Linked DNA regions of Stegostoma tigrinum. Each later gene encodes a partner of the first gene's protein in a complex. Links are inferred from orthologs where the notes say so. Each region holds a gene or a part of one and is shown in the gene's direction. Other genes may lie near its edges.

The links. Proteins that work in one complex are often made in the same cells at the same time.
Region 2: the proteins of nrp1a (region 1) and plxna4 are in contact, whole or in part, in a cryo-EM structure (PDB 7M0R), measured with the Mus musculus proteins. The link is inferred for Stegostoma tigrinum from reciprocal best matches to the Homo sapiens genes NRP1 and PLXNA4. Residues at the interface, in NP_032763.2 of Mus musculus: Arg80, Tyr84, Asp126, Tyr127, Glu128; in NP_786926.2 of Mus musculus: Glu272, Lys340, Lys343, Lys345, Leu349.

Annotation. Positions count from the first base shown.
Region 1 is NC_081355.1:129,163,144-129,170,457, reverse strand, and holds the start of nrp1a (neuropilin-1a), read left to right. Parts: upstream 1-4,257; 5' UTR 4,258-5,319; coding exon 5,320-5,389; intron 5,390-7,314. UniProt on the Homo sapiens protein: Cell-surface receptor involved in the development of the cardiovascular system, in angiogenesis, in the formation of certain neuronal circuits and in organogenesis outside the nervous system. Mediates the chemorepulsant activity of semaphorins.
Region 2 is NC_081378.1:14,224,743-14,231,885, reverse strand, and holds the start of plxna4 (plexin-A4), read left to right. Parts: upstream 1-3,986; 5' UTR 3,987-4,115; intron 4,116-4,418; exon of another isoform or gene 4,419-4,491; intron 4,492-4,748; exon of another isoform or gene 4,749-4,904; intron 4,905-5,339; exon of another isoform or gene 5,340-5,530; intron 5,531-5,822; exon of another isoform or gene 5,823-6,140; intron 6,141-7,143. UniProt on the Homo sapiens protein: Coreceptor for SEMA3A. Necessary for signaling by class 3 semaphorins and subsequent remodeling of the cytoskeleton. Plays a role in axon guidance in the developing nervous system. Class 3 semaphorins bind to a complex composed of a neuropilin and a plexin.

The DNA of each region.
Region 1 (7,314 bases):
TAAAATCCTGGGAATCCTGCAGTGTTTCAAGAAGAAGGTTCATCACTGTCTTCTCAAGGCGTGGGCATTAAATGGCAGCTTTGCCAGCAAAGACCACAGCAAATAACAAAGACTTCCCTCTTGAAGATCCTGACATGTGAAGACAGGTTTTATTTGCCTTGTTTACATCCTCAAAGCTCAGTCAAGAACTCATTCGTAGAGTCATGGAATTATGCAGCACAGAACAGGCTCTTTGGCCCGTTGGGTCTGCACCACCAAAAAGACACTACTACCTACACTAGTCTCGCTTACAAATGTAAAACCCATACCCTTGAATGTTATGCCAGATCAAGTGTTCATTCAAATACTTTTTAAAGATTGTGAGGTTTTCCACCTCAAAGAGCCTGCCGGCAGTGTATTCCAGATTCTCACCACCCTCTGGGTGAGATAGATTTTCCTCAAATCCGCTCTTGAAACCTCCTGCCTTGCACATTAAAATGAAGCTCTTGTCATTGATCCTTCGACTAAGGAGAACATCTGCTGTCTAGTCCCCTGACCATGCCCCCATAACCCTATAGTTCTCTAACAGGTTCCCCATCAATATCTTTTGTTCCAAAAAAAGCAATCCAGCCTTTCTCCAAAGCTGAATTGTTCCATCCTAGTGTATCTACTTCACTACTCCAGCTACGGCCTGGCTAAAGTCCTATACAGTGATAATGGGAACTGCAGATGCTGGAGAATCCAAGATAATAAAATGTGAGGCTGGATGAACACAGCAGGCCAAGCAGCATCTCAGGAGCACAAAAGCTGACGTTTCGGGCCTAGACCCTTCATCAGAGAGGGGGATGGGGAGAGGGTTCTGGAATAAATAGGGAAAGAGGGGGAGGCGGACCGAAGATGGAGAGAAAAGAAGACAGGTAGAGAGGACAGTATAGGTGGGGAGGTAGGGAGGGGATAGGTCAGTCCAGGGAAGACGGACAGGTCAAGGAGGTGGGATGAGGTTAGTAGGTAGGAAATGGAGGTGCGGCTTGGGGTGGGAGGAAGGGATGGGTGAGAGGAAGAACAAGTTAGGGAGGCAGAGACAGGCTAGACTGATTTTGGGGTGCAGTGGGTGGAGGGGACGAGCTGGGCTGGTTGTGTGGTGCAGTGGGGGGATGGGACGAATTGGGCTGGTTTTGGGATGCGGTGGGGGAAGGGGAGATTTTGAAGCTGGTGAAGTCCACATTGATACCATTGGGCTGCAGGGTTCCCTAGCGGAATATGAGTTGCTGTTCCTGCAACCTTCGGGTGGCATCATTGTGGCACTGCAAGAGGCCCATGATGGACACGTCATCTAAAGAATGGGAGGGGGAGTGGAAATGGTTCGTGACTGGGAGGTGCAGTTGTTTATTGCGAACTGAGCGGAGGTGTTCTGCAAAGCGGTCCCCAAGCCTCCGCTTGGTTTCCCCAATGTAGAGGAAGCCACACCGGGTACAATGGATACAGTATACCACATGGGCAGATGTGCAGGTGAACCTCTGCTTAATGTGTAAAGTCATCTTGGGGCCTGGGATAGGGGTGAGGGAGGAGGTGTGGGGGCAAGTGTAGCATTTCCTGCGGTTGCAGGGGAAGGTGCCGGGTGTGGTGGGGTTGGAGGACAGTGTGGAGCGAACAAGGGAGTCACGGAGAGAGTGGTCTCTCCGGAAATATACAACTGCACCTCCCAGTCGCGAACCATTTCCACACGCCCTCCCATTCTCTAGATGACATGTCCATCATGGGCCTCCTGCAGTGCCACAATGATGCTACCCAAAGGTTGCACCGAACAGCAACTCATATTCTGCTTGGGAACCCTGCAGCCCAATGGTATCAATGTGGACTTCACCAGCTTCAAAATCTCCCCTTCCCCCACCGCATTCCAAAACCAGCCCGCTCGTCCCCTCCCCCCACTGCACCACACAACCAGCCCAGCTCTTCCCCTCCACCCACTGCATCCCAAAACCAGTCCAGCCTGTCTCTGCCTCCCTCACCTGTTCTTCCTCTCACCCATCCCTTCCTCCCACCCCAAGTCGCACCTCCATCTCCTACCTACTAACCTCATCCCACCTCCTTCACCTGTCCGTCTTCCCTGGACTGACCTATCCCCTCACTACCTACCCATCTATACTCTCCTCTCCACCTATCTTCTTTTCTCTCCATCTTCGGTCCGCCTCCCCCTCTCTCCCTATTTATTCCAGAACCCTCACCCCATCCCCCTCTCTGATGAAGGGTCGAGGCCTGAAACGTCAGCTTTTGTGCTCCTGAGATGCTGCTGGGCCTGCTGTGTTCATCCAGCCTCACATTTTATTATCTTAAAGTCCTATACGGCTCCTACATAACCTCCCTGCTCTGTTATCATCTTACATTTTCACCAATTCCTATGCTGGGATGTGGACGCTACAGTGCTTGATTAGGTATTAGGTTGCTCGTCATGTGATGTTACCGCTGTGCTCCCATCTCCTGTCCTCAGCTGCCCTGTGGTGTGTAGCTGTATCATCCACAAGATGGATGTATAGCCGAGGTAGGACCTCAGCAAGTATACGCTTTCCAGCAAGCATAGGTAGAGAGTGACCAAAGCGGGAGGCTCTGACTGATCTTGTCCTGCCAACGATAGAGATATCGAGGCCGAATGTACCCACTTCCTTCTGCTGCTACCTTAACTGGGAACAGTAAGCTCAGCTTTCGACTATGCAGGAATCTTTGTTTTCTCGGTGTGACACGGTCCGAACCACTTCGGCAAACAGTCACCCATCCCAAACCCTGGGAGCAGCTCGAGGAACTGTATTCCAACAAGATTCCGCCATGTCCAAATGTCTGACATAATAATTTGCCCGTTTCCATAGCAGTATGATCGGCAAGAGTGCTAGGGAAGATCTGGGAGAAAATGCCGGAGGCATTTGTGTGGTTTTAAATAAAAAGATGTGAAAAAATATGCGTTTTGGACATTTGATGACAAGAAATGATTGACAAGGTGTGAAATTAACAAATGTCCACTAAATATGGCCCGAGGCAATGACAACTTTCTGCGCTGAGAATGAACAGTTCGCCAATCAAGGATGGTCAATGGCATTTGTAGCGCACTTTTCCCACCTTCAGACAACATACATCCAAACATGGTTCATGGAAGACAGTCTGACAATGAGCACGACTGAGAGGGACCACCATAATGACTGTGAGCCACATGCGTGCCTGAGACGCCCATGATTCAGATTATCTGGCGCTGAAGCCGTGCGCCTCCTGTTGGCCGGTACGGAAAGTTCTGCCGCGTTTGGGAGATGGTTCCCTTATCCCCACATCAACAAGCTCGGATATGTGGGCGCGGCATCTGGCCAGGTTCGCATGTTGGGGAATGTGAAATCGTTTGAAATTATTTTACAGCCACATTTTATTGTTGTCGACAAAATTGCTCCTCAGGTAGGTATGTAAGCCCGGAGTTTCACGAAGAGGGATGGGACTGCCACTTGTTGCTGCAGCCGGTTCGCCTTCCCAGCTGGGTGAATGAAGTTTTGTTTTTAGAAATGTCTGTTCTTTTCGCCCCATCCCTTCAGCTGGAAGAGTTTCGTCTCCCTGAGTCCGGGCAGGTAAAACAGTTCCGTCCGAACCAATGACAGGCTGCCAGCCAGAGCAAATGCTTCAGAGATTTTGCTCCAAACAAATTCAGTTTCAGTGTATACGGTAAAATTGTTATGCGCATCAAATGAGGGCGTTTCTGAAGCGTGCACACAGCATTTGCACTGGAATTCTGTGTTTGAATGTGCACAGAATTAGTGAAAAATTTGCATAGGAATTTTGTGTTTGAATGTGCACAGAATTAGTGTAAAAAGTTTGCACAAGAATTCTGTGTTTGAGTGTGCACAGCTTAGTGTGAAAATTTTGCACAGGAATTCTGTGAATGTGCAGTGTTAGTGTGAAGTTTGCACAGGAATTCAGTGTTTGAGTGTGCAGAGTATTAGTGTGAAGTTTGCACAGTGATTCAGTGCTTGAGTGTGTAGAGTATTAGTGTGAGAAGTTTGCACAGGAATTCAGTGTTTGAGTGTGCAGAGTATCAGTGAGAAGTTTGCACAGTGATTCAGTGCTTGAGTGTGCAGAGTATTAGTGTGAGAAGTTTGCACACTATTATTGTGTGCGTGTGAAGCGTGTTTGCTGATGGTGTGTATATGGTGTTCACGAGACACATAATACAATAACGTTTTGTTTTTTACAGCTGCATATAACAGGGAATTGCAAGTCATGCAGTCAAATCATTTGGCAGACCTCCCTCCGTAGACTGCCTTAAGAAAAACAGCCCGAGTCTGCCGACCTTTTCAGTGTAGTGTATTTCTCCCTGAAAGTGTTGATCACCTGGAGCAGTTGCGCGGCGCTGAGCAAGCGTGTGTTTGTTTGTGTCTGTGGAGAGGAGTCCGCAGGCGCTTCGCCCTTTACTCATTGACCAAATCATTAGTATTTTTGAAAAAGAGTTTGTTCGCCTGCCGGAGCATGGGCGTTCCTTTCTCTCTCTGTTTGCTGGCTGGCCTGTCACAGAAATGCCGCTGAAGGAACCGTAGCGTCTGACTTCTATTTCGCAATTGAGTTGGGCCAGGAGAGGCGCTTTGAGTTTTCAGTGACTTGGCGTGGCTTGGAGCTGATCTCCCAGCTCTCCGTGTCTTTCTGTATCTCTCTCCCACCCTGTATCCCTTTGTAGATCTGCTGTATTATACTGACAGCCAATCTTCCTCTCCCTTTGTGAATACATTAATAGAGGTGTCTCAGGCGGTGGACTGTGAGACTGTGGGGAAGGAGTGTGGACAAGTCTGGCTGGTCTTATTTCTCCCTTTAGCGGTGCTAAGTACCCAGTCTTGCATCATTTATAATTAGATAAGCATGTGAACGCTTCTTTTTCCTGCCTCGAACTAGTTTCAGATCTTTGTGGATTTGACATTTTTAATTGTTTTAAGAATATTTCCTAGACAGTTTTTATTTCTGTCTCCCAGCTGGCTGCTTCTCCTATCTGCTCAGCAGTGAGGAGTCTCCCTCTGTGTGTGTGTGTGTGTGTGTGTTAGGGAAGGAAGGGGGGGGGGGTTGTCTGTGCAAAGCTTTTATTGGCTCGGGATTTTTTTAGGAAATGGCAACGCCAGACATTGCAACAGGAACCGTGTATCCGCAAGCGGCGAGAGGAAGCTAAAGGATGAGGTTGCAGATCGCCCAGATTCTCCCAAAGTAACCAATTCAACTCAAGTGCGCCCTTCGTTGTTGTTATCGCTTCTCGGCTTTCCTCCCTCTCTCTCTCTCTCTCCCTGTCGCTGTGTGTGCGCGCTGTTTTCGTTCGCAATCTCCAGTTGCCAAATGGGGAAGCATCAACTCTCCCTCTACCTACTGGCCGTGGCCATCGGTGTGTCCGGGGCGGTCCGAAACGGTGAGTATTAACGGCGCCGCTTTTTCCCTGTCGTTTCGGCCCCCTGAGCCCCGATACCACAACCACTAAAGGGAGGACAGACCAGCAAATGGGTAGGGTCTCTGTCCACTCGGCAGGGCGCACGCAGTATAGCGTACACTGCGAGGATCTGGAGGGGCTCGCTTCTCCTCGTTTCGTTTTACAACAGGCTGCTGAAGTCTCCCCACACAGGGAGAGGGGGCGGCGGGGGGACTGTGTGGAGGCAAGTGGCATTTTGCAGGTTTATCCGGAGACGCCAGAACCTGAAGGTACCCTCAGCCTGGCGACGCTGCCCAGTCGAAGGCAGGAGCCTGGACTAGGGGCAAAGAATGACTTTCTGAGACCTGTTGTGACTTTCTCAGACACTGCCCCTTCCCAGGGAGAGCGACGCGGACAGTGAGCACGCCGTCAGTGTCCTCTCCCTCATCCCGAGTTAAGAGGGGAGCTCACTGAGATCTTTCGGTCTGCTTTCCCCAGCGCCTGGCACACTGGGCTCCCGTCCATGTGACTCCCTCCCCAGGAGCACGCCTCACGCTGCCACCAGTTGCCGGGAAAGCGGTTTCTTTTCGGGCAGGGCCCAGGCGAGCGATGGCCAAACGAAAACCAGAACAACGTGTAACAAAACAAAAGCAAAACCTCCAGAAAAGTGTTGGAGACGACTGACTGCTGTGTGCTGCACTGAGCTGCAAAAGGGGGTGAACATTTCATTTCTGGCTCCCTGCGTTCCTCCAGCACTTCCTGTTCTGAGACTCGGCATGTTAAGGCTATTTTTAAGACGAGATAAACGCGAACTCTCCCTGCAGTGATCAGGAGAGGTTAGGATTTGAGCACTAATGTTTGTCCAGAAAATAAGAATGAGCTTTTGGGGGAATTTCTGGAGCTGCTTTGTGTATGTGTGTGTCGCTGAATAAAGCTGTGAGGGGTCAGATCTTATATCCAGCTCTTACACTCCGGCGCCTCTTCAGCTTGAATCTTGGCTGAACTGACAGCCGTGAGCTAGATGAGGAAGACACCCCGGCTCCTTCTTATCTGCACAGACACGCTGAACCAGGTCACGAAGCGGTTCTTTCACACACACACACACACACACACAGCCTGCTGGCCGCAGCAATAAACGAGCAAAGCGGATCTCCCCGTCCCCCTCCCGGCGCTTCCCCAGCCGCTTTGCGCCTCCTTCCCGCTCTCTCCCGCAGCCCGGCGTAGCCCGGCCACAAGCCTCAGTCCTTTCTCAGTCAAACGGGAGGGGGTCAGTGTGGAGATGGGAGGGAGCAGGACAGGTAGCCAGCTACAGCGGGCTGGAGTTGAAGTGATGCCACGACATGACTAACCCGGTGTTGTTCAGAACAAACTTTGACTGCGGAATGTTTAGCGCCGTGCACGGGATGTTGCGAATGTTAAAACCACAGTCTTTCGGTCCCTTTTCCAAGTGGGAGAACTCTCCAAACAGAACGCTGACCAATCTGTGCACTGTTCCTCCATGCCGGAGGAATTTCATGTCCACTTCTCCCGGGCCAGCTCTCTGTTCCTTTAGTGAATCCCCTCTACACCCACCTTGAGATTGAAGACGAGTGAGAAGAGGGTGGAATCTCCCATTGTCCGACTCCCACCAATCGATGTGTATGTGTGGGCTGTGTTTGTGTGTGGGTGAGTGTGTCACCATGTGTGAGCGTGGTGTGTATATGTTTATGTAGGTGTGTGTATGTATGGCTGTAGGTTGGGTTTGTGTCTGTCCGCGTCTGTGTGCCTATATGTGTGTGTGTGTCTGTGTGCGCATGTGTATATATCTGTGGATGTGTATGGGTATGTGTGTGTCTATCAGTCTGTGTGGGTCTGTGTTTATGTGTATGTATGTCAGTGTGGGTGTGTGTATGTGTGCATGTGTGTATCTATCTGTGTATGGGTATGTG
Region 2 (7,143 bases), on another chromosome or scaffold:
ATCTGAACTGCAAACAGAAAATGCTGGAAATGTACACACGCTTGTCAGAACTGGAAATGTAAAAGACAAATTAACACCTCAACATCACTTTCCAACCTTCTCATGCTATCCTTCAATCCCAACTCGCTCTCAAAATGCAACCCCCTTTTAATGGGGCACACACAACAAAAACCCAAAAGATACAAAAGAAATAAATCAAACCAAATTATTATTACAAAATAAAAATACTGTGGAACCTGGAAATCTGAATTAAAAACAGAAAGTGCTAGGCAATTGCAGCAGAAATAGTGGCATCTGTGGAGAGAGAAGTAAATTTCAAGTCTAATATGACCTAACTTCAAAGTGTTATATTATTAATCCATGTCAACTGTGTCTTCCAGTTCAGAACACAGTTGACTCTTAACCAACTCGGGACTTTCCCCCGGTAATGTTTTCCACGTGTTTTCTTTGTTCATTCATTGGTCGTGGGTGTCGCTGGCTGTAGGGAGACCCATGATGCCCTTTGGGAGGGAATTTCAGGATTTTGACCCAGATATTTTGAAGGAACGGCAATATATTTCCAAGTCAGAATGATGTGTGGCTTGGAGGGGAACTTGCATATGGTGCTGTTCCCATGTATCTGCTGTCCTTGCCCTTCTAGGTGGAAATAGACCCGGATTTGGATTTGGATTTGGGATGAAGGGTCTAGGCCCAAAACGTCAGCTTTTGTGCTCCTGAGATGCTGTTTGGCCTGCTGTGTTCAGCCAGCTCCACACTTTGTTATCTTGGATTCTCCAGCATCTGCAGTTCCTATTACCTCTGATCACAATTTTAACCTCACTGCGAAGCCTCTTCCAGGGATGCCTAACCTGAAGAAGTTACCATCCTCCGTCCGGACCAACCTCAGGGAATCTCTCTCCCACTGCAACTCTCTTGTAATCTCTTCGGCCTTGAAACTGCTAGAACCGGGTAAAAAAGGATGAAGGGTCTTGGCCTGAAACATCAGCTTCTGTGCTCCTGAGATGCTGCTTGGCCTGCTGTGTTCATCCAGCTTCACACTTTGTTATCTTGGATTCTCCAGCATCTGCAGTTCCCATCATCTCTGGATTTGGAAAGTGCTGTCTAAGGATCTTTGGTCAATTTCTTCCAGTGCATCTTGTAGATGGTACATGCTGCTAATACTGATGTTGGTGGTAGAGGGAGTGGATGATTGTGGTTATGATGCTAATCAAGCAGACTGCTGTGTTCTTGATAGTGTGAAACTTCTTGAGTGTTTTTGGAGCTGCACTCATCCAGGCAAGTAGGGAATATTTCATCACACTCTTGATTTCTGCCTTATAAGTTGGTGATCAGGTTTTGGGAAAGTCAGGAGGTGAGTTACTCACTGCAGCATTTTTAGCCTCTGACCTGCTCTTGTAGCTTGATAAAGTGTGGAGCCGGAGAAACAGAGCAGGTCAGACAGCATTGGAGGAGCAGGAAAGTCAACGTTTCGGATCTGGATTTTTATTCAGGCCGGATGGACTTGTAGCTGCTGCGTTTATGAGGCAAGTCCAGCTGAGTTTCTGTTCAATGATAACCTCTGTGATTTTGGTAGTGGGGAATTCAGTGATGACAGCACTACAGAATGTCAAGGGGTAGTGATTAGATTGTGTCCTGTTGGAAATGGTCATAGCCTGGCATTTGTGAGGCGCAAACGTTACTTGCCACTCGTCAGCTCGCGCCTGGATATCGGAACAAAAACAAATTGCTGGTGAGACTCAGCAGATCATGGAATCAAGCCTGGATATTATCCAGATCTCCAGGGACCTTTGGAGGGAACAACTGTTCATTCCCGACGTGGAAAATGAATACTTGACTGAATGCCGGGATACAAGCGTGAAGTTTGGCTGATGCAGATTCCAACAACCCGTTCAATTCATTCTGTCACAATGGCGAATCTAGTGCAGTTCTACCACGCTCGCCGAGTGTCCTGTGTTGGGAAATATTTGTCTTTCCGTTCTGTGAACGCTTACAGACGTCTGCAGGGATAAAGCGAGTTCGAGTTGCACGCTCGCATTTGATACTCTAACGTTTTGTGTTGCTGCGCCTCTTTGAAAAGTGACGCTGTCGTTTTATTCAAGATTTTCATTGGCCTCATAGTGCACAGGTGTCAATTAAACACGAGGAGCGGATCAAATATCATTCCCCAACATGTGTTATGTGTCCGCTTTACCCTGCGCCGTGATGTTTTGCTGGTTCAACTCTATTAGACCCTTCCCTGCCTGGTGCAAGGGCAGGATGTCAGGAATGACTACGTTGGCTGTGAGGGTTGGCCGCTATCTTCAGCAGGGCTGGAGAGCTGGACCCTTTTTTTTTATCGGTCGAGCCATTTCTGTGTTAGCCTTTCCCCAGTGTCGACAGGTCGCTCGGAAGTGACAGACACGAATGAGTGAATTTCCCTTGGCCCCCTCCAAAGGAGCACCCTTTTCTGCTGAGGTTGCAAGCTACATATTGCCTCTAGGTGTCGTTGCAATGCAGGAATTCAGCGAGACAGCCTTTACCCCTCTCACAAACAGACACAGTCTGTCGCGTTCTTCCATACAAACGCTGCATTATCTCCAATGCAATCGCTGCGTTTCCTCACACGTGTTTTTCCGCAACGCATTTTTTTTCCGGGGGAGTTCCTTAAAACATGTTGGCAGGGAGCGAACGTGGAATTTAGCGATGGAAGAAACGCTGTTTTAAAGTTTGGGGAGTCTCAGAAGGTTGACACGCGCGCAAGTTGTTCCAAGTGCCCAAGACGCCCGTCTCTTTCTCCCAATGTGTAGGGCTGTCTTAAGTTGAGAGCTCAAACGGTTTGGTGACCGTGCAAGGACAGCGGAACCGGCGGTGTTGGAGATCAACACTGAATCACTGGGACTGGGCGTCTCTCAGCCCTGAAAACAGGGACTTTCCCCCTCCTTCTAACTGTATCTTCAAGTGTGCCAGTACCCATTAATATTGAGATATGTAGTCTGTGATTTATCAGCATCAATCAGTAATTTGACTCACATATTTAATACTCTAAAGGCTTTTTCTCTTGCATGGAGAGACGGGCATTGGGACAGTTCCAAACGGCCAGCATAGCACAATGGGCCGAATGTCTTCCTTTGGTTCTGTCTCAATCCATGGCTTTATTCTTCCTGGAAGAAGGGTTAACTTCCCAGAAAAAAATCGAACGTAATAGCATGCCTTGAGGATCTCGTTGTTGATTCTTTAAAGAGATAGTCATGATGGCCTCATAAAGCCCTAGGTCTTTACAGCTCCTTCGGCCCATCGTGCAGTGATGGGTGATTTTCTCTCACGGGAAACGGGATTAAGAGTGAGTGGTCCAGAAAGTTTATTTCGAAAAAAATCGATGTAGGAAGTCGCCGGATCTTAAAGCCCACAGTCTCGGGTCATTCGTTGTTAAACAAAGAATTGCGAGCGCTATGATGTGCAAATGCTAGTCACTGGGTAATTCATAATTGCAGATACTATTTCTGAAAAAAATCACCTTTTTTTCCACTGTGAAGCAGAGTTGGAAATAGCACAATTAGCAGAATAGCTAGTGGGAACGGTACGTCACTGTCGTGTGACAACAGCATTGATAGACTGAAAGTAGGTAAACACTACTTGCTCACTGCGCCCTTGGCAGTGGCTAAATGCAAATAGGTTCCACACTTGTACACTGGGCTTTTACATATTCTACACAAAGTTGGAGTCTGCAATTGATTCCCAGCTGTCCCCACCCCCCCGCCCATCTTCGGTGCATGACCCTGAGCCAGCAACACCAGTCCAAAGACGGTCCGCTCCCTACGTTACACTGGCATTGCTGTTGCTGCCGCTGTTCCAGCTACTGGAAGGCAGGCAGACGGAGCAGTGGGTACGGGAGGGGGGGCGGGTTTGGGGGTGGTTTGAAGGGCGAAACCGCTACCTGGCCAGAGACCCTGGGGGAAGCCTCGATTACACTCTCTCCTCTCCCCCACCTCTTCCAAAATGCACTGAAGTGTTCAAGTGTTAGAATGGTACTGCCGAGTGGATCACTGAGGAGGCTACAAGAGAGCTGATGACACTCTCCCTTCGTTTCCTGCCTTCACTCGGACCTGCTTTAAGTAGGCGAAGACCAAAAAGAAAAGGTTTTTCTCAATGTTTCTGTTATGGGGGTGTGGGGGAAGCGGAATATTTCTGAAGTGTTGCCCTGCATTCAGTAGCGATGTCTCAGCGGCTTGGCAGTGTGTGTGTGTGTGTGTGTGTGTGTGTGTGTGTGTGTGTGTCACTGCGGCGGTCTGCGAAAGCAAACCAGGCAGCCAGCGCAGAGTGAACTGTTACAGCCCTGTAACAGGAAGTTTGGCTTCTCCAATAGTGTCGGCTTCAAGCTCATTTGCAACTAATGGAATAATAATATTAAACAACCCACACCCCGTCAGTTCTGAAACAAAACACACACACACACCGAAAATGTAACGCGGTCGGATTCACCGAGATGTGAGCAATGCAGACGGTAGTCTCTTGGTAAGGTATATTTGGTTCCTCCTGCCCGCCCCCTTCAATCTTGCTGTTACAGAGGTATTTGTTGTGAGGAATGAGGTATTTGTGTGGTGTCAGCCGTTTGTTGCGAGTACCTTTCTGCAGGTGGCATTGTGGGCTCAGTGTGCTTTCCCTCTCTCTCTCTCTCTCTGCCATCCACAAATACACTCTCAGCTTCCCACTGCAGGAGATTGGCTACTGACTGTCACATACTTCCCCCGATATTTAAGAGCCGCGACGTATGTGTGTGTGTGCATGTGCATGGGGGCTACGGCAGGCTTCCTGAAGCGACAGTATCCTGGCTGCAGATACCTGAGCTCCATGCCTCCGTCTATCTCCTGGATGACTGTTTTATCTCACTCTGTCTAAGATGTGGGATTTCCCCGGGTTAGTTACAGGTACAAATCTCTGACCGCCCCTCGTGCCGCAGCAGAGAGACCCTGGAGGCGGCTCAGATCAATCTTGGGGGAAGCATATTTGAGGAGGAAGGGGGGGGGGGGTAAAAATGCGGAATGGAAGCTTTCTAACCAACCCCGCCCCCCCCCCACCCCGTATCCTCCTCCCAATAAAACTAAAAAACCGCGGTTTGCAAGAGCACGGACCCTATGCGGAAAAGGATTGTAGCTATCCACGTTCCCTTTCACCTGCTCAATGTGTTTACAGCGTGTACTTACACACCCAGTGTGAGGCGGGGAGGGGGGGGGTTGTTGTTGGGGAGGGGGAGTGTTCTCCTACTCGCGGACTTGTATGTTCACCCCAGGGGCTTGCACGCTGTCTGAGGCGAGCGGCGCTGTGTTATCGGTTGTCCCTGTTCAGTTTGTGAATGCTGATGGTACAGCCCCCGCTAAGTCCCTTCCCAGACACGTTTCTGCTCACTTCAGTGGGCTCCCCGTTCACCGAACAGTTCGACTGTGGACGCCGTTACCCGGTCATTGAACACTTCCCACTTCACGTTTGTTGGAATATCGTGATTGTAACCAAGGTGGGTGATACGGGGTGAAAAGCGATTGCGGGAATAAGGCAGGTGAGTGCTATTCAATTGGACCAGTGTTGTGCTGTTAAATGGGAAAAGGGGAAACCGGGAAGAGCCTGTGAACGTGTTAATCACTGCAGAGGGAACCGTTTGCCAAGGATAGGGTGAAGAATACATGGATTTATTTAAGAATGAAGGAGCGTTAGCCAAGCATTTGTGCAATATGTCCGTCAGTATGTTTGATGTAGGGGTGGTCATTGAGATTGTGTGTGTGTGTGTGTGAGAGAGAGATGATCAGATCGATTTGTACATTCCCCTCTTCCCCTCCCTGTCTGACAATTACCTGAACTCCTTCATGAGGATCGGGCATTTTCCAGACACTCCTCGCTCCTCGTTAAAGCCAATCCGGTATTCATCCGAGTTTAGCAACGATTTTCTTTTCCTTTCTCGCGTGCTGAAGGTTAGAGCTGCATCGCGCCTCTCAGAAACCTGTGACAGCTTTCCATCCAGTGGAAGGAAGTGTAGTGGCTGTCACACGTGTAGCAGAACTCGGGCTCGGTTTCTGGGAGAAGGCAGTGTGAGCTGTTCTCTACAAAACTACCTTCATCACGATGGCCGTAAAGTAAACTCGATTCTTTGCTAGATAACATTGCAACAGAGGGTGAGGACAAATATCTGCTGTTAAACCTGTCCTATTACCGAGATGAAAGGGCAATTTTCCACGTTGAGGTAATTAGGACGATTAGTGGTAATGGGAGTATCATATACTCCAAACCCTACCTTATTTTAATACATCGCTAACTTTGCATCTTACAACTGACTTTCAGTGAACTTTTGTTTTGATAACGAGGGCAGATTCCCCTTTGATAACGCTCGGGTGATCTGTTGTGTGGTTCTCTCCTGAGGAACCAGATTTCCCCCTCGTCCATAAAGTAACGTTTGGCTGGGTGGTCAGCACACTGGATGTACGGTCGGGGTGGATGCAAACTTTGTTTAAATTTCCCTTTTTTTTAAAACAATGGTGCATTAACCACGCTCCTCTGAACTGAAAGGGGATAATTTTGTTCAAATTGTAACTGATGACACCAGTATAACTCAGTGTCCTTTGTTGCAAAGGAGATAACCTGGACCCAGAGGGATGGTCAGTGGGTGTGTTCGGGTCGGTTTGGACGGTGCTCTGTTTTGCCGTTGAGTGTGAGATTGGGGAAGGAGCGGGTACACGGTTTGAGTAAAAAGAGGAGTTTCCCACTCCCCCCCCCCCCCGCGAAGCTTTTGAAGGGATGCGGGTAATTCCAACAGTTGACTGGGAGTGTGAGGAAGTGGCATCGAGCTTTTTGTACTGATCCTGGCTGCTATCCCGAACTGACTGGAGAGGACAGCCTGCCCTTGACCTTAAATTTAGCTTTCTGCAAAGTCAGAAGTGGTTGGGAGTTTGAGAGAGCCTTACAACGATGGCCAGTGCAAGGACAAATGTTTTTGTGTTGTTTATAATCAGTGAATTCCAAAGAGTGTTGCCTATGAGAATCATCGGATTTTACTGTAATGTTTACGTAAAAAGAGCCGCGTGTAACTGTTGCCAGATTTTTATCTTTTTTTTAAAAAAAGACATGCTAAACAATTGGCATCAAATGACGTGCTCGACGGCACTAGGACCCAAAAGATCC